Linked DNA regions of Lepisosteus oculatus. The protein of the gene in region 2 interacts with the protein of the main gene of each other region in a biochemical or structural test. Links are inferred from orthologs where the notes say so. Each region holds a gene or a part of one and is shown on either strand. Other genes may lie near its edges.

Region 1 (8,130 bases), on a different chromosome or scaffold from region 2:
ACTTAAGGACACATAGCAAACTTAGCATTGCTCTTTAAAAACCGTTGGTGAAATTAAATGAAAGTTAAGTGTGTTTTAAAGCACCCTTGCTTGTTCTTCTTAGCACACCAGCTGAACAGGAATGACAGGCCAGGAGAGGCCTGGGCTCATTCTGCTCTCGGCACATGTGGTCAAGTTCAGGCACTCAGCAAACAGACTCGAGAGGGGAAGGGGGAGTCTTGCCTGACGCGAGTGGCCCTGGCCTCGGACCGGGCACTATACCTGTCCACCAGCACCAGGTCGTCCCTCAGAAGGGCACACTTCGCCTTGGGCCAGAAGACCTTCACCAGGCAGCCGCAGTCCAGGCTCTTGTCCATGTGCAGGGCGTGGGCGAGCTGGTTCACGGTCTGCTGGCGACAGGGAGGGAGCGGGGAGCGGGGGGCAGACAAAGGGATGCTGAACACTTTTTTTTTTAAATCCTGTTACTTAAGTTCATATAAAGCACTCACAGGACTGAGCAGAACACAGACAGGCCTCGGTTACATCCATCGTGATTTCAGTACAAAATAAAGTCACTCCAGGCATCAACTGTGCCAGATGAAGCCAACCAACATCAGGTGGTGACGTACCCTGCCCCGACAGGACAGCCTCTGATCCCAAATTTATATCCCCCTTCGGGCTCAAAGCACCTCTCCCACCTCCCAGGACTGCACCGGAGTGCCGGGCGGAATCACACTGCTTGCACCGCTTGCCAGAATAATATCAACCCTCCTCAAGCTCTTAAGCCAGGCAGGGCCTTTTCCGAGCTTCTCAACTCTTGCGGAGCAGCGCACCACGACGCCCGTGCCCAGTTCCCCTGAGGGGGCCCCGGAGTGACCCCTGACTTCTGCCGTGTGGCAGCTGGGGGGGAGGGGGGAACCCGGTACCACTGTGCGCAGGACAGCGCCGCCTTTCAAAACCTCGCAGGCTCCCACAAGGCCCCGGCTGACACCGACGTGCTTTTCCGAGGGTACAGGGGCAGCAGGGCTGGGAACGCCCTCAGCGCCAGCTCCCGGACACTCGGGCTGCCGCACCTTGACGCTCTGCTCCTCCTCCGAGCCCTCGGTCTTGAGGTAGGCCTTGTCCCCGTCTGTGCCCTCCACGCTGAGGAAGCAGTTGGTGGTGTGGCCGATGCCGCTGGGCAGCACGCGGTCGCGCAGCATGGCGTTGATCACCGTGCTCTTCCCGTTGCTGGTTCTGGGAAAGGAAACGAAGCCGCGGGGGGTCAGGCGGGCGCCGGCGGGCGCCGGCGGCCTCCGCACTCGGGGGGGGGGGGGGGGGGCACGCGGAGGAACAGCGGCGCGGCGCCTGTACCTGCCGAAGAAGGCCACCTTCATGTGCCTCCGGGCCAGGACCTCGCTGATCACGGCGATCTTCTCAGTGTCCGCCTGGATCCGCGCCCGCTGCTCCGCCGTGGCGATCTGCTCCAGCTCCTCGGTCCGGCAGGTTTCTGGCAGGAGCAGACCGAAAAGCTTCAGGCACGTCTCACGTCTCTCCTCCCGCCTCCCCGCCCAGCTCTAAGGTTTGTAGCCAACGAGGACGGCCCTGCTGTGGCGGCGCACTCGCGCGCCCAGCGATTGGTTTAGCGCCGGGATGGACGCAAACTCCAGCACCTGCAGCACGGCCAAGATCCCGACTCCTGCGGTCCTCTTCCCTTACCTTCCAGGAATGCCGCTCCTTCGTTGACATAATCCAGCAGCTGCTGGAAGATGGAGCTGATCTTCCTCTTCGCCAGCACAAAGTGCTTCAGGGGGGACTGGTCTCCTTGCTCCATGCTGCTGTCCTGAAAAGCAGCCAGTTCGACACTACGTGAGGGACTGTGGACATCACAGCTGTGTCCCACAATAACAGGCAAACAGACTAAGTCTCTCTAGTTGGAAGGGAGTGTCCCACACTAACAGGCTGGAGGAACTGAGTCTCTTTAGTCTGAAGGGAGTGTCCTGCACTGACAGGCTGGAGGAACTGAGTCTCTTTGGTCTGAAGGGAGTATCCCACACCGACAGGAACTGAACCTTTTTGATCTTGAACAGAGAAGACTATCAAGCGACCTGATTCAAGTATTTAAAATCACTTACTGAGTCAAGCCTGTGGATTTCTTTCAGGATAACCATGGAAACACAAATCAGAGAACACAGGTGGACGACGCACCATAGTGCGTCTAAAACTGAGAACAGGAGGTCCTTATTTACCCAAAGGGGTGAGAGAGTCTGCAACAAGCTTATAGATTGGATCATGTTTCTCACTTTAAAAAAATTGTAAGAGGCCATTAACTATTGCTATTTGGTCGGAATGATTTGGGACTCCACAAGCACAAAGAGTCAGAGAATTGCTCATAATTGTACATTAATTGTGCAAGAAACATGACTGCACTGCTACAGCAGGAACAGACCCATGAGAAAACTAGAGAATTCTGTGCCATACAGAGATCTGGACAGGTAATGTTAAGCTCTGGTTTGTGGGTGACCTCGTGACACTGGCTTATCTCCTAGGATGCATAAGTAAGGTCACACACACACACACACACACACACACACACACACCCTGTGAGAGTGTGTAAACACAGAAGAGCACTGGGAAACACACTCTTTACAGCCCCACCCATCTCACACACCACTTGAGCAGACTGCGGGGGAAAAGGTTTTAGTTTCGCTTCTGTGTAGTATCTCTTTCCAAGTCTGTCTCTCAAACTTACAGAAGGTTAGAATACTAAAGCAAATAAAGTTGATAATCTTGGGGTTCAATAATACTGTGCATCCTTCCCCAGTACCAGACGAGCACAGAAATAGCACCCCTGACCTGACCGAGTGACGTCTGCACTGCAAAGGGAACAGCTGGCTAATCCCCATCTATTTTAGTACCTTGTTTCTGTTTACACTTCACAAGCAGGAAAATCACAAAGCAGATATTATAAAACAGAAAAGGAGCGTTTTCAATGGCCAGTTTTAGATGTCCCTAGCACGTAGTAAGAAAAAAATGAAAAAAATTACCTTGCTTATTTTTAATACTGTAGCAATCATGGTCTCTGGGTCTTTAAAAGTCATCATGAATAACATTTAAAGAATATATATTATACAGCTATTTTTAAAGCATAGCTTGTGGTTATCAGACACTTAAAGGCAAAAAAGCGTCAGTTTGAAGTGTTGAAACTGGTGCTATCACACAAGTCTTCTAGTATGAGGTAGGCGATGTACGTGACGACAGCGCTTCACCTGTCCTACGTCACACTGGAAAAGTTGCAGACATTGCTCGGTTCAGACCCAATGATATCTTTATCCCGATAGTTAAAGAATTTCAGAACCGAATGATTATGCAGACTTGGGGAAAAATAGACAACTCGCGGGAAAACCTGGCTGTGCAAAGCAAGGCTTAATTTTTCAGAATATCCCTCATTCCTTCATGTAGCGCTAATTAATGACCCGGCAAGTATCCCAGACTAATTTATTCCCCTTTCCTGAATTCTCTCCCTGTCTCGACTGGGGCCGGACGCCTTGGTCAGACACAAGCTTCATAAACAGGAGATTAACAAGAAAGACACAGAGGCCTGTGTTTTGTTTAGATTTCTTACCTTGGAACCGCTCCGGTATTATCAGTACTGGAACTTTAAAACTACCCAGTTGAAGATTTAAAACTGAAACAAGACCGCACGCCCGAAACGAAACGAAACGAAACCGTATTCCTGTTAACAAAACTGCCTGGAAGCAATAAAAAAACTAAACCGGGCTACAGGATCTTCAAATGGTGACAGCCAGCCAGTTTTATGCACCTAAACACCCTCCTCGCCATGAAACTGCCACCGTATCTGTGCGCAGTGTCTCCTCACATTCTCATCACTGTTCGGAACTGCAGAAAACCGCAACATAGCTCCTGCTATACCTGACAGAGCTGAGATTCCGCCTCCCTTCGTCTATCCTGATCTCCGGGCCTCCTCACAGGCAGCTGCGGCTGCTCATACTCCGCGGCCAGTGCGGTGTTGTCGAGCCGGACAGGTCGCTCCGCTCCGCTGCTCGGTCAGAACTCGGCCCGGCCGGGGAGGCGTGACTGCGGGGTCGAGCTCACGGGCGCACCGCGTTAACCGTCCGGGAGGGAAACAAGAGCGCAAGGCGTAAACCGTCCGGGGCGGGAGGGACAAGAGCTCAAAGCACCAGAGGCATGCCCCCCCCCTGGCGGGCGCAGCGTGTCACTGCTTCTTCTAGCGACCCCGCCGGCGCTGTGAAGCGCTGCAGTGTTCAGCTCAGTTCAGTTTATTTGTCATATGCACAAGTGCAACGAGATGCTTACGTTTAAATGTCATTACCCTGACCTTGGGCGCCGAAATTCACCTCGACAAGAGGGGTTAGTGAGCCAAAAATATTGTGAACCACCATTCGCAGCTTTAAAAACAATCTTTCAAAGACCGGAATCGGTTTTCAACCAATAAAGTGAGTTGCACGGGTGGGCCCGTATCGCCACAGAGCGCTTTTTCAGAGTGATATTGCAGTTAACAAGAAAATCGTAGTATTTGCTCACCGATCCTTGAACTGCCCATCCGCGCTAGACTCTGATATTACAACGTAAACACAGGTTAAAGTCATATTACATTAATACAACCCACAGAACGGTGTCTCACTGGCCGGGGCGGCGCTGCCCTCAGCCCTTGGGTCCTCTGTGTGAATCCGGTCTTCTGTGCAGAGTTTGCATGTTCTTTCCCTGTTCGTTTGGGTCTTCTCCTCTCTTTCTTTCAAAGACACTGGTGCGGTACAGCGCTGTCCCTAAATGGTCCCTGCGTGAGCGCTGTAGCGGACTGGGCTCAGTCCAGGAGGGTGTACTCCTGCCCTGGTCCGTCTGGTTCTGAGCAAGAGCGCCCATGTCACAGATCGCTGTCAGGCGGGAACAGCAAGCATCTTGAGAAAATGAAGGGAGAAGTTATTCACAGTTCATCACTCCTTCTTCGTGACGTTCTTCACAATCGTGTTTCCCTGTTTGAAAAGGTGCCCGTGTGGCCTCAAGCGGAACGATAAGGCACTGTCCGGAGAAAACCGTCCTGCAGGCATGCACCTTTTTTACAGCTGTGAGTCGCTTAAAACGGACTCTGCTACGAAGAGCGGTACTCGGAGCCAAACCTCGGCTGTTCTCCGTGTGTACCGATCACTGCAGGCCCTGCAATGGAAGATGTGTCGCGGGTCCCTTCCCCAGCTCCGCTCTTTAGAGGAGTCTGGCCACAGCGCCCAGCAGGGCCGGATACGAACCGGTTCTTTGCTCTACAGTCCCGAGGTCCAGGGCACGGGCTCGCCAGGTGCTTGGGAATGTTTCACTCAATCGCATGTTGCAGTTCAAACGATATCAGCTGTCCCACATCTGGCAGATGAAAACGGAGAGGATGAGTTTGCCGGGGGAAAAAATTGATGTTTCCTCTATGTCTTTTCAAGTCTTCTCAGGTGGATGACACCACTTTATTAACATAACATCACTTTATTAGGCCTGTTATTTCCCCGAAATAACACATCTGTAAAAGAACGAGGAAGAAAGTCACTGCCTTTTGTTCTCGGCGGCCTTGGGACAGATGCGAATCGATGTTTTTTTTTTAATCAGAGCCTGCCTGTTAGCGCCTTCACAAGAGATGTTGGAAGCTACAGATTATAGATCAAGTTTTACACTTTAAAATATTAGGGACATGTTAATGCTTCTTCAATAACCCAGTTGGCTTTTTCCATCTTTATACATGTGCAGGCGGTGATACCCATCTGGGGACACACAGCAGTCCGATTCTGCAGCACACAGCTTTTACATCACTCCTGCCTACGGCAGCAAAAACTGATATATCTTCGTAAAATCTGCATGTACAGCAAAGGTCTGCGTGCCCTTCTGTTATTTTGATATCTTTTTTCCCCCTGCGAGCAGCACCTGCACAAACACATTTCATGCATTATTAAACAGAGGGATATTGTCAGGGTGAAAGTTGGATTTGAAACTCCAGTCTGCTGAAGCCCTGGCGGTTTGGGAGATCGAAGCCCGGGAAATGGGAGAAACAGGACTAAGTTCGCTGGAACCTTGAAAAAACCGAGAGAGATCGCCTGGGCTGAAGTCCTCCACAGCAGCGCCGATGACACTGCCCATGTAAGTGTGCCGGTTGCTGACAGGGCTGGAAAGATAGTGCTGCGCCCAGTTCCGTCCATGTCCGAGAAATGTCACAGTTATGTTGTTTGCTTTGTCTTATCATGAAGCACGCAGTGACAAGAACGAAGGCACTAACTGTAGGCAGCTGGAAGGATCTTAAAATCTGTATGCATGCATCAGTTCTCTTTCAACTGCTGCGGAAGACGTTGCGTTGCGCTTCGCGTGTGCCGGTGAACTAAAAACCCTCGACAGTTACAGTACGTTCGCTGGTTTTGCCTCTCCTGCGCTCTCTGCGAGCAGTTAAGAGAGATTTGAGCGCCAGGGGAAGGTGGTGATGTGTCTTGACCAGCTTCAACACCTTGACATGAAGAACCTCAGCGTGACAAACAGATCGTTAGGCGGTTGCTGAAAGCAGGAATGAAGTTCGTGGTTGGGTATGAAGTGAAAGGACAGGATAGAAAGAGCGTTATTGCCTGGGATCTGAGTTAATAGGTACATTAGACCCTGTTGCTGTTTTAACCCATAAACCCTCTCTAACTGTCGGGCAAAGCAAAGATTTCAGGACAAAAATGGAAACAAAATTACGTCTCTTCCACTCGAGTATTTTACTGTTGGTATGCAGTTTGCTTTTGCTGCAGAATCTGAAATTTCAGTCTGAGCCGGAATATCTGAGGGAGTTGTAACCTTTTGCACACATTATGCCCGATTCGTCTGGTAGCTGCATCACCTATTGTGGAGATTAATTAACCTTCTGTTCTGAACATAGGAAACGGGACAAAGGCTTTCGGCCCATCTAACCGTTTGGTAGTCAGTATGTTGGTGATCGGAGGATCTCATCCAGCTGTTTCTTGGAAGAGGCCAGGGTACCGTCTTGAACAACATGGCCGAGCAGCTTGTTCCACACTCCCACACCTCTGCCTCTCAGCTTGAAGTACACCTTCGAGTAGTTTCCACCAGAGTCTTCCGGTTCATGTCGCTCTGCTCATCGGAGACGTTTGCGGGGTTGAGCTTGTTGAAGGCTTGTGCCTGGTCGCCTGGTCGCCGGCTCTGTCCAAGGCGCAGACCGGAGGAGCCCGTCCTCTGCCCGTGTGCTGTGTTTTTGAACAGCGTCCCCCCGGTGGGGGGGCAGTGCAGTGGTCCCTCTCGTTCCCTTCTCCTCCTCGCACGCAGCAGGAGCTAATCCCTCGTAAACATGGAGCACAGGACACGCACGTCTTGAGGAAAGGAGTCTCCCTCCGGGCCTGTAACAGCCCACGGGGCATCGTTAGCTGGCTCGTCTGTTGGCGTTCCTATAGGAACCCGGGCGGTTGCCGCGGCAGCCAGGCCCAGGTGAGGGACAGGGTGCGAGCCGCACCTGCAATCCTCCCGTCAGAGGCTCCACGCCTCTGCGACGCACTTCATCCGGGCGGTAGCGTGTGTGTGTGTGCTCCGCCGCGGCAGGGCCGGGGTCCGCGTTGCCATGTCCCAGCCGGGAGCGGACATGTCTCTCCAGCCGGCGTCGCGCAGGGGGTCCTGCGGAGTCCCGGTCCAGATCACGCTGCAGTGCGCGCGCAGACGCTTCACCAGGTAGGGTAACCACTCTCTCTGCCTTCTCCGGCTCTTCCGGAGAAGTCCTCTCCCCCGCCGCCCCAGACTGCTCGGCCCCCCATTCGTCTTTCGTCGTTTCGTGTTCTTCCCTCACCTGGCCTGAGCACGGCGAGGGCCAGTCGCCCGGCCCTGGGGCAGAGATCGGTCACGCTGCCAGGGCAGCAGAGGCAGCAGGGCCGGCCTCGGTGCTCCAGAAGAAGCTGCATGTGTTCTGCCTTCTGCAGGGATATGAGCGGCTCGGTGTCCGTGCAGGACCCTCGGAGCAGGGCCAGGGACGGGAAGGGCACGGACCGATGCAGGAGCCAGCCGCCCGTGTCCAGCGCCGGGGAGGACCGGGCTGTCCTGCTGGGGTTCGCCATGATGGCCTTCTCCGTGCTCATGCTCTTTGTGCTGGGCATCACCGTGGTCAAACCCTACATGCTCAGGTGAGAA
Region 2 (8,247 bases):
TGTTGCAGGTTACAATGTGCTGTCAGCAGCACTCCATCTTCTTATAGTTAATAAAAAAGAATAGATCCTCCCTGAAAAAATAAAGAGATCTTATTGAATGTCAAAATCAATATCGAATGGTGATTGAGCCTCCAAGATATGTGGCTGTCTATTAGAGCAAACATTGTGGCACAATAGGTAGCACTGTCATGTTGCAATTCAAGGGTCCTTGATTCAAAGCAGGCTGTCTGTATGCACGTTCTCCCCATGCTTGCCTGGGCTTTCCTTACTCTGGTGCCCTCTGACAATCGAAAGACTGGATCCAGATTAACTGAAGTCTAGAAAATGTCCATACATTTGCATGGATGGTTGGATGCATGTATGTCCTGGAATTCCAGAATTAAGTTGTAGTCCTGGCTCACATCCTGTTTTTGCTGGGTCAGACTCTGGTTCACCTAACTCCTTTAAGGATAAAGGAGTTACTGAATATGAATCGGTGGTTGATTGACTAATAAGGGAAATCAATATGTTACCGGAGTGCCTTTTTGTAACAAGCAACATCCCCCGGGGTCTTTAAAAACCACGACACTAATATGTGGTAAAGAGCAGAATTGCCTCTTCAATATGTCCACCTAAGTTCAGACACTGGTAACATGCAGCCCTTTCCCAGTTCCCTATCCTCCTTCTCAATTGCCACACTTATGTTAGTACCTTGGCTCATTCTTCCAAGTGGTACAGTGGTACTGTAGATAGCCATAGCCTGTCAAAGCCACAACAATATCGACAATTGTTCTCTCAGATGAACATGCCTGCACGCACATTGATGGAACAATTTAACCAAACTGTAACTCTGGAGCTCTGGTTAGGTTTTTATTATTACTTGCTTGTCTGACAATACGTGGCTGGGGTTACACACTGATAATGAGCTCCTAGTTATACTGCCCACTATTCACACAGCTCCAATCAGTAGAGCTTTAGATCACTGAAAGCTATAAATAAACATGGAAACATTCAGCTAATGTGAGCCACACTCTCACAAAACTACAAGTTTTCAATGCAAGGGGATAAACTTGTCGTTTTATTAGAGACTAGGATTATACATACAGTATATAAATACTGCAGTATGGCTCAATCTCAGAGTTTAAGGAACATCTTTGGGAAAATCTTACTTTTAGATGTTGTATAAAAAAGGTAATGTACTGAATTACACTCCAAGCTTCAGGGCAAGTGATTTGCAATTAACTAATTAAAAATCTAGATTTGTTTTTTACTTTTCTGAAACTATGGTGGTAAAGGTTTTATACAGTACTTGACGTCAGAAATTTTAGGAATTCTTCTATTAGGATTTTTAGAAACTCTAAAAAACATTTTGTCTGATTTTATACTGTAAGTCACAATAAAATGTACAGAAAATACAGTCTCACATCTCACATCACATAGAATATTCTTAGTTCAGACAACTGCTACTAATTATATTATTACTATTGGCCTAATGTACCTAAAATAAATGTGATAGGTCTTCCAGAGATTCTAGAGATGCAAAATACAGAATGTTGATGAAATTCCAGGTTTCCAGCTGTACTGGAAGCATATCTTAAACATAAAGAGCTATATTTAACTAAAGATTTGACATGAGATTAAGCCAAACAGACAAAGATATAAACAGCACAGAAAATTCCACTTGGCTAAACAGTTTGTCTGCCCTAACACTAGTGCTTCAATATCATCCTAAAAAAAACTAAAATCCATCAAATATTGTATTTCCCCTTTAGCCATTTAAAAAAGGAGTATCCTGTCTGAAATGCTGAACAAGCTCTTTTTCCAATCCCATGAAAAATTGTTTTTTTTTTTATTATTGTTCTGTTTAGAATAAAGTTTCTATTAAAGTTACTGGTTCTGGAAACAACACAAGATATGAAGTGTTTTGACTTCACATAAAGACCTGCTACAGTTCTGCTAACGAATTTCACGGTTCAAGGAGATTGAATCAAGTTAACCTTGAGATTTTGATATAGAAAAAGAAATGGGTACATTCGACAGGAAAATGGTACAGCTGTGTCTCTTTGGCTTAATTCAGAACTCTGGGTCAACACTTTTTACAGGCCTTGCCTGGCCAGAAGCTTGCTTTCAAGATTTTGAATATGTTGTTTATGAGCTCAGGGTGGCCCAGTGCCGCAGTGGTTAGTATTGCTGCCTTGCAGTGCTGGGTTTTGGGGTTGAATTCCAAACTTTCTGTGCAGGGATCGTATGTTCTCTCTGCGTTCGTGTGGGTTTCCTCCAGTTTGCACCGGTTTCCTCCCACAGTCCAAAAATACATGTGTATATTTTGAGAATATTAGCCCTGGTGTGACTGCGTGCGTGCCTGTGTGTCTGCCCTGCAATGGACTGGCGTCCCGTCCAGAGTGTACCCTGCCTTGCGCCCCTTGCTTGTCTAGTTAGGCTCCAGCTACCCTGAACTGGAAGAAGCAGCTCGAAAACAGATGGTGGGATATATTACCTCGATCGGTGTTCTCCTCAACACCTTTCAGTGTCAGAACTGCCACCTTGTTTAAAAAGCAAGGGCTCATCCACAATGTCAGACTCTTGGCTCCATGCTGCAGTAACCCCAATGCCAGCTACAGCCTTCATAATGAAATTAACACTGTTCCTACAAGGGAAACACTCTGCAGATGCTTATAAGTATTTTAATAATGTTCAAATTGCAATTTGATGACTAATCATATCACTGCCTCAGATTTTAAGAATTCTCACAGTCTCTCTAAAACTGGGATTAAGAGGCACTACATAAATATTGTGCACTGAATCTTTTTCATTGCGTCTTTTGTACAGAATGACAAGAATGTATGGGGAATTTAAAGCTATATACTTTCCCCTACGTACCTAGTTATGTGCAATAGCAATAGCACGTAATTAAAAACGCTCATTATCCTATCGATTCACAACACCTGCTAATAATGAGAAGTGCACAGAAAAAAAGAGCCACCGAGAGATCACGTGATACCCTCAACTAACCTCTGTCAAAAGCTGCGTGAAATGTCTCAGGATTTAATAGGTATCTCGTGGCTTATTTGTAGATAAGCAACCAATTTAAACAAAAAAGTAATAAACAACGGAGTGGGAAATGAAAAGCAGCATTAATTATGCAATGGTGTCATGCACTATACATTTTCTTCAGAATAATAGTATAGTTTTAAGATTAGAATGCGGAGTTGAGGGGACTATTCCCCGTTTAAGCGTCTGATTTCTATAGCTGGGATCATGAACTGCAAGCCACTATTTACCATCTCCCGTCGTCAAGCTGAATTACAGGTTAGATGCACTTTTTCTTATTTCGAAAGAAAAAGAGAAATCAAGAGAGACACGTCACACAGTATCACCAGAGTCACATACCTATCATGCTGAAGAGACGCAGTCTCTGACAATGTGACACTGACAGTCTACGCACACGTCTCTGTTTGTATTTAAGGCTATGGCCTACGACATCCCAGGTCACACTGCATCAGCGCACGTGTAATGGTCCCTGAAGCATGTTGGGAAATGTAGTGCCCTTTTTTTCCGTTTCTGTTTCAACGTTTTCGTGCAACGATTTACAAGATACAAACGTAATTTATTATTGCTGTCATGATTTCTGCTACTACTATTTGAAAGCAACTACTGAGTTTTATGTATTTTATAGCATGCTTCTTCTGGTTGTGACCGAGTGCTTATTTAATTGGGTAGGTCAGTCTCTGCACAAAACGAAGAATTCAGGTCATTAAACAAGAGTTGACGGTTTGGTCGTCTTATTTCACGAATTTATTTTTTTACTGCTAACCTTAGAACTAAAACTTAGAAAGGACCCTGAAAACGGTGCGAGCGAGTGCATCGCTGCCAGTCCAGTTCTAACTGTACGTAACCAGAGATCTCTTTGTTATAATTAAAAATGTATGGTGCCGTTTTTTATAGCCTGGAACTTTTTTTCGTTTTTCTAAGTAAAATTTGTGTATTTGGTAATCACATGTAAAATCTCGCCTTATAACAGAGAAGGGACTTTTTCATTTGGTTGTGCTTTTTCGGGATAAGTTGCTTTTGCTTCGGCAGTTTGGCGAGTGAGTACAGTTTCCCTGTAATCATTCATACATTATTGTAATGATTGAAAATGATTGCATGTGCTTAACAGATTCCTGCTATCGTAGCAGACGTTTTGCTGTCGAGCTAGTCGAAGATCAATTCTAGCGGTAATTTAAGGAAGGGCGCCGGTGGTATTTTATAATGCGTCTTGTGTTCTGTTTAACTTTAGTATTTCCAGGTATGTCTGTAAAACTCAGTATATGAGAACAATTGACCAAATTACACGACACCCGATTTGGTGCAAATTAGAACAGTTTGCTAACTCTCCAGGTGTTATGGAGGACTTCAAAATGACAAACTGCAATATACAGGTATTGGACAGAAACAATGGAAATACCCAGCAAAGGGGGAACACTATGGATATTGAAAGCAAGGTCTCCCACTCAGTTCTGGTCATGCTTTAATTAAGCAGCTAGCATCCCAGCACGCTTAGAGGCATGCATAAAAACAGGAGGGCCTGGTTTCTGGAATTCTGGCTGTGAGAGCACAGTGACTTTGAAAGAGGTGTGTTTGTTGAGGTGAGTACAGCAGGAGCTTCGGTGACCAAGACGGCTCAACTGGTTGAGATTTCGCAACAGTAAGTGGAAGCACAAACTATAATCATGATATCCATGCTTAAATTCAGAGTGCAGGGCAAACGAAGCCAAGCAATTACGCAGCAGGTGATCTGACTGCAAATGCCAACCTGGGGTGCAAGCATCCAGTTTAATCAAAGGTGGTCTGTAAGAGCTCCTCAAAGTGGTACACTGTACAGAGGTGGATTGCAGTGCAGGAACCACTCCTCACTCCTGGCACGTCCAGTGGTACAAAGAGCACAGGCAATGGACTGCTGAGCAGTGGAGAGATGTGATATGGTTAGAGGAATTATCCTTCATGTTCTCGACAACCTCAAGCACTCAAGGATTGTAGAGCTTTTTGTTCCAACAGTAAAGGATTCTGGTGGTTCTATAATATTGTGGGGCTATAATAATATTCCTGTGATGGTCTGGGTGTATTTGTTCCTTTCGAAGGCAAGGTAGATGTTATTGGCTACTTAATAGTGATCGTCTTCACCCCATGTAGCATTTTTTTTTCATGGGGGGCATCTACCTGATGGCAATGTCCACATCTACTGAGCATGTGTGGTCTCCCAATAGTTTAATCAGCTGTACACTGATGTGTGTTACAGTATGAAGTATGTCATGGCCTTCTCACTCACCAGAAATACTGTAAACACAAATGAGCATTTATGAGATATTTTGGATTTTTCCAGAGCATTTTTTCACTTCCATCAGCCAGGCTTTCTCATGGAAGAATGGTGCTCCATGCCTGCTGCAGAACTCCAGATGGTGTACACTCTATGTGATGATGCATACAGGCCATACTGGTTTCATGTGGTGATCCAGCACCTTATTATGTGAACTATACATTGATTGACACTACCTGTGTGTTTTGGCTCTCAGTTCCTGCTTACAGTGTATTTGGAAATTCTAGCAGCTTCGTGCCGTTTTACTGTACATCAAAATGCTCAAGATTCCAACTCTGATAAACCCTATATGTCTTTACTATACTTTAGTATAGTAATCCTATACTAAACCCTATATGTCTGTATGTTCGCAGTTGTAAATAAGTTGCTTCAAAATACAGTATTTAGCCCTACATACTGTACACTAGCAAGGAAGTAAGGGTATGAAAAATAGTTCTATTTTTTCATTTATAATGTTTTATTGTTTAATTTTAGATTCATACAAATTCAAACATAAAATTCATATGCAGTAGCATTATTTCTAGATGCACATCATAGAAGCCCTGCCTCATTTAGATTTTCTGTTTCTGTCTTGTGGAAGCTTAATGCGTTAAGCATTGACGGTTGGCAAGTAAATACTTTTAGAATGCAGTTTTTCATACCCTACAAATGTGTGCTTTCCATCAGTACTGGATATCCAGTGAGTCCTAAACCAGTTTTGAGATAACAGTCCAGTCATGTGCTCATGGTCTTTGTGTGTTCAACAGTGATTTTCTTTTTTTTAAGCAAAAGGAATCTTGGCAAAAATAAAATGAGGACCTGCTGCCACCCTGGGTGTGTAATGATTTTAGGATAAATGCAAAAAGTCTTGGGTATAAAGAGTTAATTTACATAATTATGTTGTTTTTTCTATTAGTCTTTCTAGAGAGATTTATGTGCAGCTTTTTAAACATGTAGACTATTTAAAGCATTGGGGCTGGTAGATGCTGTAAACTTCATTAATATTCAAATTGAAAATGCATCAATGTAATGTTTTCTGCATCTCTTCAAATGTGATGTGGCATATTACAACCAAAGTTACAGGGTTAGATGATTGACTAAACATGATTCAATTTACATATTAATGAGTAAAATGACAGATTATAATATTTACCCCCCTCTCTCCCAGGGGTCAACACTGTACTTAGTTCCAAGCTTTCAGGTTCCAATAATTCTACAATAAAAGAACATTCTAAGTTTTTTTTTTTAACCTTGTTCGGAAAAGGTTAAGGAAGGTAACATTCTGTTCTGGATTTCCAAATGTTTTTTGAGCTGTTTGCAGGGTCTGTTTCAATCATGCTCAAATAAAGTTGTGAAAACTGAAAATCATTTTTTGTTTTTTGAGCCAAGAGATTAGACAAAGCATAGACTTTTTAAAGAATAGGGTTCAGTGACATGAACAACATGCTTAGTCTACTAGGAAGTGTAAAGGTTGTTTTCTCTATGGAAGCTCATCCTTGTTTAAAACATTACAAGTGAGGATGATACTTTCATGTAACTGCTTCATGCCACCCTCTGCTACTTTTTTGCCCAATATTAGATAAGCATATTTGCACATTATTCAAAAGCTCAGAGTATGTAATGGACAGTATAAAGCATTCCCTAAGATGCAGATATCTTTGATCTTTCTGTAGTGATAGAGTTTCAGTGTTCTTTTAGTGCTGAATTTAAAGTGAACAGCACTGAAAAAATATAAGTGCAGTACATTAGGCATTATTTATGCAGCAGTATTTTTCAGCAAATATGGACACTTGAACCTGTAAATTGCTCCCAGGCGAACATTAAAATTTCGTAAGTTTAAAGGACTTCTTTGAGCAGCTCTGCCAACTGTTCATCTCCATTCCACTCTGGACATGTGTTGGCAAATATGACTCACTGGGGAGCTCTGGCTAATGAAATTCTATCTTACATTATTGGAGAGTTCTCAACATAAATAATAATTGCAATCTAGTTATGTTTAGTGACAATTTCCAACCTTGTGCCATAACTAATCTCAATTGTTTTATGTTCAATCGACAGTGATATGGATTCAGTACAGGTAGTTCTGCTGTTTTTGTTTTTGATTCAACACACCTTTAAGGCTACTGTATGTACTACTTCATAATTAAGGGCACATTAGTTTGCACAACATTTCTATAAAGTAGGAGCCCTATAGTGAACAATACCTCAGCCAAAATGCATTATGATGCTGCTGCAAAGCTCTGACAAACACATCATTGAGAATGACTGCTATGGTACTGTACTGTAGGTCCAGTGGCATCTTTAAAAGTGTTTTATACCCTGTGACATTGTAGTTTTAAACATACCAATACATGAATACTCATACTGAATACATGATTTAAAGTAAGAACATGACAACATATGTACAGTATTATTATAATAATAATTGCTTACACCTATATAGCACTTTTCTGGACACTCCACTCAAAGCGCTTTACAGGTAATGGGGACTCCCCTCCACCACCACCAATGTGCAGCTTCACCTGGATGATGCGACGGCAGTCATAGTGCACCAGAACGCTCCCCACACATCAGCTATCAGTGGGGAGGAGAGCAGAGTAATGAAGCCAATTCATAGATGGGGATTATTAGGAGGCCATGATTGGTAAGGGCCAATGGGAAATTTGGCCAGGACGCCGGGGTTACACCCCTACTCTTTTCGAGAAACGCCCTGGGATTTTTAATGACCGCAGAGAGTCAGGACATCGGTTTTACGTCTCATCCGAAGGACAGCGCTTATTTACAGTATAGTGTCCCTGTCACTATACTGGGGTATTAGGACCCACATGGACCACAGGGTGAGCGCCCCCTGCTGGCCCCACTAACACCTCTTCCAGCAGCAACCTTAGTTTTTCCCAGGAGGTCTCCCATCCAGGTACTGACCAGGCTCACAC
Region 3 (7,606 bases), on a different chromosome or scaffold from region 2:
AGCAAGCTGGTGCAACACCTTGTTCAAGGGAACACCTGCAGATCCACTGGAGTCTGAACCAGCTATCGTCACATTACAAGGCCAGAACACCACACAATCCCCCATTAAATGCATGTAAAGTCACAAAGTATTAGTGACTTTCACACAAACAGCACGTTGTGAAAGTGAAAGGCCTTGCAATATCACTCGAGTGGAGTATCGACCTTCCCCTTACTTTTTGATTTGTCACATTTTAGATATTAGGTTAACAGCACTTTGGCTTTGTAGCTCAGTTTGGAGACCATTTTTGTCCCCATCTATACACCACAGCTGTGCCATTCTCTGCTTTTGTCCATGACAAACTGTCTGGACATACGGAAACATTTATGTAATTGTGAACCTCAAAATGTGAAACGATGCCTTATAAATAAAATTGATTAACTGATGCTTCTCATTACAGTTGCTAGTAGTGGCTTCATAACTAACCAAAAATATTTACTACATAGGCTACACGTTACACCTCAATGCATATCTCAGATTACCTAATTTCTGTTCACAATTGTGAACTACCAGGCACCACGGCAATGTAATTTGGTGTTCACAGTCAGGCCTTTGGTCACTAATGTTATTAATAACTATGTGTACATCTGAACAGCCTCCTTCAAGTACACAAATGTACCCACAAATCGGAAAGCACACACTGTGACATGCACCAAATCATCAGCCACAGCACCCTGCATTCTGGTTCAAAAAGAGAAGGCACATCCTGTGCAGGACAGACGGTTTGCAATCTGGTGGAAAGCGATTCCTACACTAAACCGACTCCTGTATTGATTTGCGGTCTGCTGGAGGAGAAGGCCAGCACGCTATACTCACTTAGTATGTGGATCGTAGTTCACCTCATCACGCTATACTGTGTACGTTAAAACTCTCAAGAGGGCGGAGCAGTAAAGCTCTCCATAGTTTTCACTTTCCTTTAGCAAAACCTGTGCCACGATCACAGAAGCTCATTTTCAGGTTTTTGTCGTGATTCCACTTTTTGGTCACGAATTTTCCATTTGCATTCTCAAAACACATCAGCGCTCTGAGCTCATAGGCAATTACAGGGAAAGTCTCCCATTTAATGTTTCTTTGGTGGGGAAGAATACGTTAACGACCATCATGTGACCACATGCAATCACATGTAACGCTTCACACTGAGATGTACGTCAACTAAAACCCATTCAGAACGTAAGCGGGATTGGAATGGAAATGTTTAGTATATTGGGATGAAAAATCGTAAGATTGCGTAAACCCTTCACTTAATATACGAAAAGGCATGTTATGCCCACGTTAATAATCAAGACAACCTGATCATCCGTGCACCTGAGCGAAAGCTGTCAGCGAAAAGCAGACACTGCAAAATCACCGTGACCACAAAAAAAAAGTCCCGTCCACGAAAAGTAAGCGAAAATTACAACACACGACACAGGTGAAGCGTTCATTTATAAACGGATGCAAGACTGCCATCTCTTAAACCATACGGAAATAAAGCGTTTACTAAAGAAGATATCCTGTTCGTTGTTCTGAAAGGTATGCTACTGCTTTAAAACTTAATCCCCGTTTTGAATAATCTTGGTCTGGATTTATCCCTTGCCAAGCGTAATTACACAACACGGATAAAGAAAGCAACGGATGAGTTCCCGCAATAGTTCAAAATAAACACTGATGAAGTACACACAGTGTTATCTTCAACAGCAAACACTTTCACTTTGCCAGTAGCATGCAGAGAATTGCTCCATTGCATACGGTCGAATTTACACTAAGAGTTACGTGTAACATTCATGTTTCACACACAGCTGTCCATTACCATATCAAGGGCCGCCTACAGATACAAGGATTTTAGAAAGGGTTTAAAATGTTACACACATTAAGCACAAAATCTATACAGATTAAGCAGAATGCCTCTGCAAAACCACAAGATTGACTGAATCTTGTACATTGAAAACAAAGGTTTAAATGGAAATCTATGAATGTGTCAAATCCCACCTACTGCTGCCAGATGTTGTAACTCAATATTGTCAACGCCTTTTTTTCTGAATACGTGCAGTCTCTCCAAAACAAGACCTTTTAATCGAAGTGCATTTTAAAACTGTCAACTGAAATGTATTAGAGCAACCCCAGGCGAAACGGTCACTCGTTTCAACTCCTGAAATCGTGAATTATCTCCCAATAGACTCGGCTGATGCACCAGGACAGTCATTTTCAATTACAACAGCCTAAATCGTGCGCTCAGGAACATCCCTAAAAACCTCACACCTAGTTTGCCAATAAGCACACGATTAAACTCGTGAAGCCATGAACATCTTGCGTCAACGTCTGTAACTAAAAAAAAAAAACAGAATGCATTGCATTTCATTGTACAATCTGAATTTTTACACGGCACTTACTTTCCGATCACCTCGCAGAGCTCGTATACATCTTCAAACAGCACGTCGTCGTCGGCCATGGCCCAACAAGAATGGGGAAATTATCCCCCAATATGCCCAGCCAAAACGGTATATTTAAAAATAAAACAAAGGATCACAATTCTGTACTGCTGTTCTTGGACTGGGGGAGGGAAAGACTGGGAAAATCGCGAAACGCCGTTCGGTGGCTTTCCAAATTCCAATAGGCGGAAAATTACTCCTTTCCCCCACCAAAAAAAGCAAAGGCGCTCGGGCTCCGGCGATTTCTGCGTATTTTAGTCCGTTTGTCTGACTCGGTCTCCGGCCCCACCTTCTCCTCGTCTCCCCGGCTTCAATCCCCAATCCCCCAGTTCTGAGGCTGCAAACTGAGATTTTCAAGCGATTTAAAATAAACACTCCGCCTCTCCTACGCCTGCGTCTGCGTTGCTCCTCGGTGTAGCTGTAGCTAAAGCTCTCCCAGTCCACGCTGCGATGCCTCTATATATAGATTTATTTCTTTGAAATAATATTGCACGGGATTAATCCAACAAATTGCGATGCCCTCCTGGGCGTGCAGCTAGTTTGCACGCCGTGCTTGCTTGGGCTCCTCTTAAAAGACGCTCATTGTCTGTCTTTTCATGCACACGCTTTTTTCCCCGTGTGTGTTCAGGTGTACCAGCGCTGTAAAAAAAAAATGGATCTCCCAGTCTCTTCTCCAGTTCGCCGCTGCTCTAGTTTTCCTCTCTTACTCCGCCACTCCGCCGCCGCCACCGCCGTTGCTGCTGCTTCTGCTGCTCCGGCTTCCAGAAACGGCAGGCTCCTCCCTCCCAACGTTACGAAACTGGCTCCTAGAGCGCCATTGTGGCTCCATCGGGAGCCTGGGAATCCTGCAATGCACAACGCAGCCCGGGGATCCAAGATGGCGTACCTTTCGCCTTTTTTATTAAACAAGACGCAGTTTCCTGACTCCTTCTTAATAAAACCTTGCTCCGTGTCCACCAATCCAAGGTAGCAACGAAAGCCTACGGCGCACGCGTTGGGCACCTTATACCCATCGGGTGACGTCACCTCTTTCCTTCACAAATGCTTTTCTTTTTCCACCCAGCCAAGCAAAAGCGGGGACTAGGAGAGGCGGCAGGAGAGGTGGCTGGTGACTCACCGCACCTGGATGGGGCAGGGGAAAGAGTTCATTGCTGAGGCGTAGCAAAGGCTTACTCAGCTTGTGCGAAACAGAAAAGCTAGTTAGCGAAGGCAGCTTGGAGTGTTAATACCTCTATTTCATAAATCGTTGTGAATAGAAATATCCACTTGGAATTTTGTTAAATGTTTGCCACCTTGTTAATCATTGTTTAAAAGCCATTTGTAAATGAAATATAGGAAGCAAACTTCGAACCTCTTCATATTCGCACGTACTGTACAGTGAAACTACCGAATGCATTTTCTTCCTATAGCGCTGTAACCATCGTGATGACCTGCTAGCTCGTCTTCTGGAGCTCAAGTCACGAACACGAGATGACAGCCCTGCCACATCACATCACATCTTAATGACCCCACCTACAACATCAACAATACACTGTATTCATGGGAAGCCCTGTATCTGAAGAAAGCAGACACTTGAGCCACTGGCAGCTTTTGCAGTCACAAAGGCTGACCTCGGATACAATTAAAAGCCACCCAATGCTCCTGGATTTACACTTAGCAACTGGGAGTTCAGGATGTTAGGCGGGTTCACCGCTCGCTATTCTGGCACGCATGTGTAAATGGATCCTATTTGTAAGTGTTTTCAAACCGCCTCAAAATCTAAACGTTTATGACCTGTGTGTGATTGCTATGGTAGCACTAAAATGTTTGCTGGAGGGTATGTCTGCTGTCGGTTCAGCCTTGAACAAGACAGACGTGCACGTGAAAGCAGCTGTGCTTTAGCAAATCACAAAGCAAGCAGTTCTTTTTTTCTGCTTTAAGTCATTTATAAATTTAAGGAACAGTACCACTGGATATATTAAACATATTAAAACAAGCACTATTAAGAGGTGTTTAAGGTTGTAAATGTCACTTCCCTAAAAAACATTATGTCACCTTTGAAATTCCAGTTGAAATTCTAAAAACGTTAAATTTTATTGGAACCGTTTTGACAATTTATAACAGAGCTGTTAATGGAAACACACTATGCTATATTAAAAGGACCAAAAATAATGGAATTGTTCCCACAGTAGTGTCATTGTAGCCATGTAACACCTTTTTATTTTCCTCATTTACATGCAAGTGTTTGTGTCTGTTCTATTTTGTGCTTCGTGTTAGAGGGGTGTCATTATGTGCATGTGGAGCCTGCTCTTTTGAATAAAACTTCACATAAACAGGAAGCCATTCTTAAAAAGCATCCACTTAAGCAGAAATGGCAACATTCTTCTATTGCGTCATTGTGCTTTCAAGGCTTCAAACAACATCAGAATAATTTTACAGTTCGCATCTGGATGCCTTTTCTGTTTGAATGTTTTTTATTTTGGTCAGCCCCTTCCTCTGAGAAAGATGGATTGATAGTATTGCAGTCTTCTCGCCTAATTGGGGCTAAAATATTAAAAATCCATTCTTGTCTTTTGCTAAAAGAAACAATAGGACTATTGTTTTTCTTTTCCTTTGGTTCCAGGGGGTGAGCCTAGCTTTTGTTTTTTATTCCTCTTTATTATGCATAAAACTTTATTTTTTTCAGCATGGAAGCTTCTCTGGAGAGATTCCTGGGAGATTTCCATCAATGCTTCTGGAAATTGTGAGAGTGAATAAAGCAAAGAGCTTTAACAAACAGCATGACAGAGCTGTCAAGCAATGTAACATGCAGAGAGCATTCCTTCCTCACGGATACAATGCAACCTCTTTCAAACAGAGCAGGTCATTTACTGCAGTTGTCACTAACGCATGTTATTTGTACTATTTCCATGGCCCATTCCTGTAAGACATTGGGTTGCCTGAATGGGCGGAATTTCAAATCTAAGAAAACATGGAAAAGGAATAAAACTATGGCATTTTAATCAAGAAGGAAATGTTCAAAGTTATTATTATTCTGAAAACTTTTGTTCTGTATACACCCAAGTACTCTTGTAAGCTTTTGTAGTGCCAAAGTATCTTTTAACCTCAATAAAACACTCTTTATCTGGAGATCACACAGAGGTAAAGCAAGGTGCGGAGTCAATTCAGCTGTAAAAAGTCCGTTATAATACCAATATTAATATCAACATAAGACCAGAAAAAAGCAGACACTAACGAGGGAGTATATAGTAGCCTGGCCTTGAGAATCACATAAGTTTCAACATTGACACAGATAGGAGCATTTCACCATTTCCGAGAAAAAAACAACATTACTCGCCAATTTTATTTCTGTCCTTCTGTAAACACCTCGTCTGGAATTGCCAGACTCATGACTGCAGCTCTGCATGGACTTGGGAGGCTTAATGAAGACATTAGACAAGCATCCTACTAGACAGAGGGGGTGCCCAGCCAGCTGCAATTTTTTTTTGTTTGGCAATTAGATTCTGCAGCTCTGAATAACAAAGTTCTTCTTTCAATAGAAAGAAGGGAAATAGCTGCTACTGATAAATAGTCATCAGTCATGCAAGCATATGGTCCGAATCAGTGGTCAATGACATACAGTAGAAGGGAATTTCTCAAGAGTGGTGGGTTTGGACCTAAAAGTTGAATGGACCTAGAAGGATTCTTGGGAAGCTGGATGAGAGGGTGTTGTACTGCTTGAGGTTTGTTAAATTCATGGGGGGGTTGAAGGCACCCCTGAAGTACAGAGATCCACCATCCCAACACACGACACCTTCACAGCAACACCCACAGGAAACCACAGCCAAAGCCAGGATATGCCAGAGAGTGTAACTTGTATGTGAACAGTCTCCAGGCTGTCATATGAGCCACTCAAGAGGCTCTCAGTCACTTCTCTGTTCAAAAGGTTACTAGAATGTATTCATGTATGATGGATGGATGTTTGCCCATTATGCCTTCTGGGATGTAGGGGCAGCAACATCCTGTTTCATCCTGTCCATAACATTTTGGGTTTTGTTACAGGACAGGGCTGTTCACCTTGTGCCCAACCTCCAACGTGGAGGACCTGGCGCCCAACGAGGGACACAAACCCACTATCCTGAGATTATGAGTTTCAAGCTCTATCACCAGAGCTAGTTAGGGCTGTTAATGTATGATGGGGTGTCCCTTTATTTTCTTCAAAAGCTTTAAGGCTGTCTGGCATTGTCTCAGATGTCTTTTACATATAATATCGCCTTGCACCTGTCACGCCCTCTGCAGCCAGAGGGCGCTCCTTCTCTGTCCTGTCCCTAGTTTCCTGTGTTTGCTCTCCTTCCGGTGTCTCTCTCTCTGGGGCTATATATTTCCGGGTCACTTATTCTGCTTCGCTCAGCATTGATGTTCAGATGTCCTGAGACCCGCCTAGCACCAGGTCGCCGCTCTGTCCGTGGCCTTAGGGCTTAGGTTTCTATACAGCACTCCAGAACTCTTTGCACTGCTGAGCCCGGGCTAACTCCCCGTTCCGCCACTTCGCATAGGGTGTTTTTCGCTCTCCTGCCTCTCCACGGTTTGTCCCTTCCGACATCTGTGACAGCACCCTTCCCCTGTCATGCATTTCAATGCAGCTCACATGTGAATAAGGTGCCATTCAAGGCTCTACGGGGTACATAGTCCATCCAAGATCACTTTGTACTGCAACGTCATCATTATTTCCATTCATGCGACCTGTAAATAATGGGTGCGGCTACACAATATTTCACAGTTTAATTTCTCAGTTTTGAAAAATGACATCTGCTGTGCCTTGTTCTTGAGCTGTTTTAACTGTGGAACATCTGTCCCCCTCTGCCTTCCTGATAATCAAGCGATCAGTTTTTCATCTGTCTCTTTAGGTATGCTACATTATTTTCACCGATGTAGTTGCAAACATTTTCAACAGAAGAGTGGACAGGCACAGCCTGAAAGCTTCAGTCATACGCTTAAGTCTTTGTCTTAGCCGGAAATCCTTTTTACAGATGTCTAAATGTCAGTAGGTTAGTTCTTCTTTAACCAGGAAGCAGCTCTCCTTTAGAATAAGCACAAAATATAACTATTTACATAAATCAAAGCAATCATAGTATTCTGATTCTGCTATGGGGTCTATGGGGCTAGTCTTATATATAAAGCCTTTCTAAATGAGAACCAGT
Region 4 (7,369 bases), on a different chromosome or scaffold from region 2:
TGCTCAGTCAATATTCAGTGCGTGCCCGGTCCATGCTCAGTCCGTGCTCAGTGCATGCAGTCTGCATGCTGCTGTGGAGTGTCACCTGCCCAGTCAGGCTGCAGCTCTGGATGACAGCGCTCTGTCTCTGTAATGCACTGACTGTGGACAGTATCCCAGCCAGGGCAGTGAGGTGTAGCACCGCTGGCTTCAGCTCTGAGGCCCAGAGGTCTGTCCGGTGTCGCTCTGTCCCAGGGCTGCTCCTGAGATGTTCTGGGGAGTCGTCATCCTGCTGTCCTCTGTGTGTTTCAAAACTGCCCATGGAAGCCGGGGAAGGGAGTGGACGTGTGAGTGGGCTCAACCAGGGGCCAACCGGGCTCGGCACGGCTCGGCTCGGCTCGGCACAGCTTGGCATTGGAGTGTAAAGAGGGGTTCCCAGCAGTGTCTGCCGTGGGAGAAAAAAAAAGGATCACCGAGCGACAGCTAATTTATCTGTCCAATGAGGAGCAGAAATCCCCTGTCTTGTCCAGGCTACGGGAGTGAAGCAGCTCTCCTCCTTACAGACGTGACTTTTTAAACACTCCATTCCAGGTGGAATAAATTATATCAGATCCCTTTAATATTCCTAACTTCTTCCCTCTGGAAAAGGTTTTAGGGCTCCCAAATGTAGATCAAACACTGTAGATGCAAATATTCACTTGTTCCCCTGAATACAAATAAACGGCAAGGGTAAATGCTATTGCATGTGAACCATCAGTGTACATACAGTGGCGTTTACCCTGGTACAGTATAAACCGTTTATGCTGTAACAAGCTATATGGTTAATAAGTCATGACGTTTTTTGTTGTTGTAACACATGTGCAATAGGTGAGATGTGTAATGTTTTGTGATGTATTCAGATGTACAGAAGCAACGTGCGTCTATATAAAAGTTCCCCTAGAGGACAATAAAGTTTATATCACCTTAAATAGTAAACATAGAGACTGCCTGAGGAAGAGCTTTGTGCTTGAAACGCGCTGCGTTGGGTGTGGGGTGTTGTGTGCTGTTTGCTCCTCGGGCTCTGTTTATTGTTTCGCGCCCGTCGAGGTAGCAAGTCTTTTCTCAATCAAGTGGCTCCCTCCCGCGGCGAGGGACGAGGGCGGACGGTGTCGCCCGTGACCCGCGGATCCAGCTGCCGGGAGACCCTGGGTTTCTTTCTGAACACTTCTCCGCGGTCGAAAGCACGACCGCACGGGATCTGCCCTGAAAAACACGACCGCAGGCTATCTGTGCCGATGGTTTCGTTTATTTGCGTCCCTCCCAAAAACAAAACCCCACGTGCAGAATTTCCGGTTCATTACTTCATGGTGTCATCTAGCAGGGCTCGATGTAAACGCGCGAGGAGCCAGACGTCAAGGCGTGAGACCGGTCCTGCCGCGCATCGCTACGAAACAGCATTTCAGCCCTGAAAATGGACGTCTTGTGGGTGCCCACGTTCTTGTTTGGAGTTATAATACTGCGGCGAAACCCCGCTTACTGTGGCTGCCCGTGCACGGCGGCGCACCGTGACGGTTTCACGACACGAGAGTGGGTGTGAGTGCTGGGGTGCCCTCTCCCTGTCCTGCTCTCGCACGCAGTGAGGCCTCTGCCTGTGCTGGCGCAGGTCGGGACAGCAGGCTGCTTCTTAGCGAGAGCCTTGTGTTTTTTTTTTTACCAGACCGGCAAACACTGGGCCTCTGTTGTGCTGGAAACCCCAAATACGAGCTGGAGACCTGCGCTGTTGGCAGGGTGCGACTGTAGGTGCTGCTCTTCCTGTGGAAGGAATGTAGCGCTGTGTTTTCAGAAAGCTGAAAGCTCTGATTGTCATGCGGCGCGCGCCTGTGTTTCAGGGCACGTGTGTGCGTGTGTGTGTAGGGGGAAGATCAGCGAGTGTCGTGTGAGCTATGAGTCATTGCCTCAGTTCCCCACTGTGAATCTCAGGTGCCCCGGCAGCTGGGGAGTGACTGTGCGTGTCTGTCTGGAAAGGTTTGTGTGTGTGTGTGGTGGTGGTGTTGGGGAGGGGGGGGGGGCAGGCATCGCCAAGGCAACAGAATCCTTCAGTCTTCAGGGCTATTGTGACATCACAGTGAGACATCTGCTCCATTCATGTGTGTTTCCAGCACCCTGCTGAGTGCTCACCCTGCCTTCTAGACAGACATACTCACTGGCCCCAGCAGCTGGTCCCGAGCCCACCCTCAGCCCCCTGGGTCACAGCCGCCCCCCCCCCCCCTCCCCAAGAGGTCGAGTTGGGATGCTGTAAGCCAGAGCGCCTTTGCCCTCTATAAGGGGGTCTTTATTGTTTTGAGCTAGGCCACTGTGTTGCTTGCTTCTGTAATTGCTGACTTGCTGACAGCATTTCTTGGGGCTCAGAAAGATTTTTGACATCATTTCTTGGGCGGTGTGGCGGCTCTGTGGCTCAGGATCTGCGCCTGTGGCTGGGAGGTTGCTGGATTCTATCCCGTGGCCGGCAGAGGAATCCTACTCCATTGGGCCCCTGAGCAAGGACCTTCACCCCAGCTGCTCCAGGGGCGCCGTATAAATGGCTGACCCTGTGCTCTGACCCCCAGCTTCTCTCCCTGTCTGTGTGTCTCATGGAGAGCAAGCTGGGGTCTGCGAAAAGACAAATTGTATCTGGCCAATTAAGTAATCTGATCTCATTTAAAAAGAGGTGTAGGGCGTCTGCTGAGGTTGTTTTTCTCAGCCGCCTCAAACAGGACCAGTGTTCCTCTCTTTTCTTCATGCTCTCATTGCTGCTGCTGCTGCTGCATTATCATTCATATTATCAGGCCAGGGCTGGGCTGGCAAGCAAGCCAGCTGTCTCATTATTAATGAGCGCTGTGCTCCTGGATGGCGTCATTCCTGGCTCTCCGCTGCCCCCTTGTGGGACGGAAGAGAATTGTTCCAAAGCCCGGAGCCCTTCGACACAAAGACCTTTCCCTCTGGAACAAGCCTGTGGGTGTGGCAGCGCTGCCCTGGCAGGTGATGTATTGGGAATCGGTTCGGCTGGGAGCTCTGTGTAGCTGCAGTGGACTAAGGCTTCGGCTTCAGCAGGGAGTCTGGAAGCAGCGGAGGGACTGGGGGCTGTGATGATTTGGGGGTACACAGCACAGCCTGCAGAGCGGGAGCTGTGTGGGTACAGGCTGAGGGAGAGGGGGGGGACGTCCTGCATCCCTGACAGAACTGGGGCGCTGTTTTCCTCGCAGACTTCAGCCACATTGCTGGTAAACCCAGCGCACTGGCGAGCGCTAAAAATAAACAGAAAACCGAATAAAAAGGAACCAGTCTTTGTGCTTTGATACCCACGTAGAGCAGGAGTAGGAGAGTCAGCCTGGCTCACCCAGACCCCTGGGGGCAGGAGCCTGCGCACACCGGCGCTGTCGGACCGCGTGTGAGAGCCCAGGGCTCGTGATAAATCCCGGGCCGGCTCGGGCTGCTGTGCAGGGGGAGTGCGCGCACCCAGCCCGCCCCCCGCCTCACTGTGTCTGCTGCTCAGGCCGGTGACTGGGAGCGCTGGTCCCCACGTCGTCTCGCGACTGGGACCAGCACAGGGCACGCCAAGTCGGGCACAGAAGCCAAGCAAAATAATAATCATAATTAATAATAATTGTTTACACCCTCCTCCACCCCCAGTGTGCAGCCCCACCTGGGTGATGCTCCAGTCCTCTCACACACACCAGCTCTCAGTGGGGAGGAGAGCAGAGGGATGGAGCCAGTTCAGAGGTTTATATGCACAGAGATGTCTAAAATAAACACTTCGGTGTCGATCCCTTTGCCCTGCAGCCTGATTCCTCCAGCTCAGTGAGGGGCCCGCTTCTCAAGGGCAGACTTCCTTTGCAGTGCGCGAATAACACAGGCCGCCATCGCGGTTTCCTCCTGCCGGCAGCCGTGAAAGAACTCCGTCTCGGATGAAAGCTCGGGCTGTTCGCTGCCGGCTGCGCCCCTCGCCTCTGCACCACCCCCCCTCGGAGGCAGGAAATTCCACTCGGCTGGCCAGAATTCCAGCCCTGCTTCCCAGAGCTGGGGGGAGGTCTCTGAGAGGGGGTGGGAAGGAGGGATGAGGGATAGGGATAGGGATGAGGAAAGAGGAGGAGGAGGAGGGCGGATTGAGCGCTTCCTCGGCTCGGCCGCTGCGTCTCCGGGCCCTCTCCCCGCCGGCTCCTGCCTCTGTGGCCATGGACGCGATTATCCTGCAGGAAAAACTGGTGGAGCGTCTGCTGTCTCCCAGGATCAGGAGCAGCCGGGTGAAGGTAGGAGGGGGAGGTCTGGGAGACGGGGAACCGAGCTGATGGGAACTGCAGGCGAGGTGGCGAGAGAGGGGCGAGCCGAGGGCGCGGGTCGGGAAGAGAGGAAGGGGATGCTGGGAGGAAGCGGGGGTCAGGGGTCACTGGCCGACCCAGGGGGAGAGCGAGGGCGAGAGGGAAGCAAAGGTGATGGAGGGATAGAGGAGGAGATTAGGAGGAGGAGAGGAGGCAAACAGATCAACCTGCAGCCTAAAGTCCCTGCAGGACTCCAGTGGGGTTCAGCTGCGAGGGCAGTTGAGCACTGAAGGACCAACAGTGTAACAAACAGTTGTCTGGATGAAAGCCCTGGAACGGGTGGTTTGGAGGAGAAGAGGCTCCTGGCGTAGGATTAAACAACCCTGGGCGTTTGTATGCTCACGTGTGTGTATGTGTGTGCGTGTATGCGTGTGAATGAGTGTGTGCGCACGTATCTGTGCATCTGTTTGAGTGTGTATATGTGCGTGTGTGTGTGTGAATTTGAGTATATGAGGGAGTTTGTGTATGAGTGTATACTGTATGCATGTGCATGAGTGTAGATGCATGTCTGTGTGTGTATGAGTGTGTGTGAGTGCATGCGTGTGTGTGAATGTGTTTGTGTGAGTGTATATGCGTGTGTGTGAATGTGTGTGTGTATATACGTGTATATGAATGTATGAATGTGTGTGTATATGCGTTTTTGTGAGTTTGTGTGAGTTTATATGTGTGTGAATGTGTGTGTGACTGTATGTGTGTGTATGTGAGTGAATGTGTGTGTATATGCATGTGAGTGTATTAGACTGTGTGTGAATGTGTGTGTGTGTGAGTGAGAGTATATGCGTATGTGTGTGTGTATGTTTAAGAGTGTATGAGTGTGCATGTGTGTGAGTGTATAAGAGTGTGTGTGTGTGTGAGTGTATAAGAGTGTGTGAGTGTGTAAGAGTGTGTGTGAGTGTGTGAGTGTATAAGAGTGTGTGAGTGTGTAAGAGTGTGTGTGTGTGAGTGTATAAGAGTGTGTGTGTGTGAGTGTATAAGAGTGTGTGAGTGTGTAAGAGTGTGTGTGAGTGTATAAGAGTGTGTGAGTGTGTAAGAGTGTGTGTGTGTGAGTGTATAAGAGTGTGTGAGTGTGTGTGAGTGTATAAGAGTGTGTGAGTGTGTAAGAGTGTGTGTGAGTGTATAAGAGTGTGTGAGTGTGTAAGAGTGTGTGTGAGTGTATAAGAGTGTGTGTGAGTGTATAAGAGTGTGTGAGTGTGTAAGAGTGTGTGTGTGTGTGTGTGTTAAGAGACCCTGAGCTGCTGGCTGCTGGGAGAGCAGGACTCTGGTGCGTCAGACCCGCCAGCCCTCTCCCGTCAAGGCCCTCTCAGTGTCTGCGAGAGGCTGGCAGGAGCAGCCCCGCGGGCCCCAGTGCCAGCTCTTGTTTACAGAGCGGGCCCGCGGGGCTGGCACGGCCCGGTTCCCCTGGCGCCGGGCTGCAGGACGGCGTGTGCGTGGGGGAGCCCCTGAATGAGCCCTGTGTCTCAGTGTGCAGGCTGGAGGCGCCGGCTGTGCCACCAGCCCGTCCTGCGCCCAGCTGCTGCCGCGTCTCAGGGGTACCAGAGCCCCCGTCTCACTGGGACTCACTGGGACTCTCACTGGGACTCACTGGGACTCACTGGGACTCTCACTGGGACTCTCACTGGGACTCTCACTGGGACTCTCTGGGACTCACTGGGACTCTCACTGGGACTCTCACTGGGACTCACTGGGACTCTCACTGGGACTCACTGGGACTCTCACTGGGGCTCTCACTGGGACTCTCACTGGGACTCACTGGGACTCTCACTGGGACTCTCTCACTGGGGTTCTCACTGGGACTCTCACTGGGACTCTCACTGGGACTCACTGGGACTCTCACTGGGACTCCCCTGCACTGAGGCGCTCGTGACATTTCCTTTAGGCCTGGGCTTATTCTGGCTCCTTTCCTCCAGACCCCTTCCGGGGTGTGATGTCCGGTCTCTCCTGTGGACAGAGTATTCCTGCAGTGGTCTGAGCACTGTGCTGCGCAGCTTTGCCAGTTAGGACATTCTGGGGCGGGACGGCAGTGACTCTCCCAGGTTCGGGACCCGGGGGTCGAGCTGCAGGAAGGATAGTTTTCATTCCAGCTCTACTTTGCTGCTGGGACCCCGCCAGCCATGTGAGGGGTGTCAGGAAGCTGGCCTGCATGGGAAGTGATCGGAAATGATGGATCAGGCAGCTGAAGGCCCTATTCAGCTCTGGTCAATGAACTCCCTGTTCCGGCCTCTGTGTGTCCACACAGGGCCAGCTCAGCCCATAGAATAAACAGACAGAGAGGGGTTCATCGCTCTCAAAGGCTCCCAGTCTGGCGTAGAAAACGTTCCCCAAGCACAGGCACGAGCCTTTCGTTTCTCGTCAATGCGGCGTCTTGTTGCGTGTGAGGAGCTCTCTGCAGGTGCTACAGGACAAGCCCCTGTGACAGGGGGGTACAGTCCTGGTCCTCAGAGGGGGGGCAGAGTGTCTGTAGGTTTTCCTTCCAGCACAGCTCTTGACGAGCTGAACCGGCGGGTTATTTTTCATAACTGGACACATGTAACAGCCTCTCCCTGCTCTTCAGGTGCTGCGGGTTTAGAGGAGGCTGGGGGAAACCTGCAGATATAGCGCCCTCCCCCCCTCCCAGGACCGGGACTGCACCCCCCTGTCATAGGGCTGTGTGGAGCGTGCTGGGGCGCTGGGGTGAAAGGGGGTGCCGAGCAGCCCTGGCTGACCCGCTTTCTCTGTTGATGGTCGGTCGAATGCCCAGTTGGCCCGCCTGTCCTCTCTAGACCTGGGTATGATATCTTCAGGGGTGGCAGTGCAGCGTGTCTCTGGATCGGCCCTGGGCCGGTACATTCTGTATGTCCAACTAAACCCTTTCCAAAGACTGGGGACACCTGGAAGGTACTGATTGCTTTAAGCAAGAGATTTGTTGGACGAGAAGATCTCTGTTCCTCGAAGGCCGTGTGGTATTTAGAGTTTTATTCTCAGCAATCGACACATGACCTGATCTAACAGATCAGCCGCTGAACTGACTGGACTCGGATCACTCCCACGTCTTCAGAAACTGGCGGCTCGGAGGTAAA

The links.
Region 1: of the proteins of prkn (region 2) and mfn1b, one has a biochemical effect on the other in vitro, tested with the Homo sapiens proteins (3 studies listed by BioGRID). The link is inferred for Lepisosteus oculatus from reciprocal best matches to the Homo sapiens genes PRKN and MFN1.
Region 3: the proteins of prkn (region 2) and caska form a complex in vitro, tested with the Homo sapiens proteins (2 studies listed by BioGRID and IntAct, with this or other methods). The link is inferred for Lepisosteus oculatus from reciprocal best matches to the Homo sapiens genes PRKN and CASK.
Region 4: of the proteins of prkn (region 2) and septin5a, one has a biochemical effect on the other in vitro, tested with the Homo sapiens proteins (2 studies listed by BioGRID). The link is inferred for Lepisosteus oculatus from reciprocal best matches to the Homo sapiens genes PRKN and SEPTIN5.

The regions. Positions count from the first base shown.
Region 1 is NC_090708.1:1,648,305-1,656,434, reverse strand, and holds the start of mfn1b (mitofusin-1b), read right to left. Parts: upstream 3,096-8,130; 5' UTR 3,072-3,095; coding exon 3,006-3,071; intron 1,802-3,005; coding exon 1,678-1,801; intron 1,469-1,677; coding exon 1,333-1,468; intron 1,216-1,332; coding exon 1,053-1,215; intron 387-1,052; coding exon 262-386; intron 1-261. Other genes in the region: calcium-activated potassium channel subunit beta-3, read left to right, coding at 7,571-7,677, 7,923-8,123. UniProt on the Homo sapiens protein: Mitochondrial outer membrane GTPase that mediates mitochondrial clustering and fusion. Membrane clustering requires GTPase activity. It may involve a major rearrangement of the coiled coil domains.
Region 2 is NC_090712.1:15,389,527-15,397,773, forward strand, and holds the start of prkn (E3 ubiquitin-protein ligase parkin), read right to left. Parts: upstream 3,415-8,247; 5' UTR 3,377-3,414; coding exon of another isoform or gene 3,370-3,376; intron 3,345-3,369; exon of another isoform or gene 2,602-3,344; 5' UTR 2,547-2,601; coding exon 2,477-2,546; intron 1-2,476. UniProt on the Homo sapiens protein: Functions within a multiprotein E3 ubiquitin ligase complex, catalyzing the covalent attachment of ubiquitin moieties onto substrate proteins. Substrates include SYT11 and VDAC1.
Region 3 is NC_090710.1:3,905,440-3,913,045, reverse strand, and holds the start of caska (peripheral plasma membrane protein CASK), read right to left. Parts: upstream 3,369-7,606; 5' UTR 2,468-3,368; coding exon 2,409-2,467; intron 1-2,408. UniProt on the Homo sapiens protein: Multidomain scaffolding Mg(2+)-independent protein kinase that catalyzes the phosphotransfer from ATP to proteins such as NRXN1, and plays a role in synaptic transmembrane protein anchoring and ion channel trafficking.
Region 4 is NC_090717.1:1,151,896-1,159,264, reverse strand, and holds the start of septin5a (septin 5a), read left to right. Parts: upstream 1-4,055; 5' UTR 4,056-4,070; coding exon 4,071-4,244; intron 4,245-7,369. UniProt on the Homo sapiens protein: Filament-forming cytoskeletal GTPase. May play a role in cytokinesis. May play a role in platelet secretion.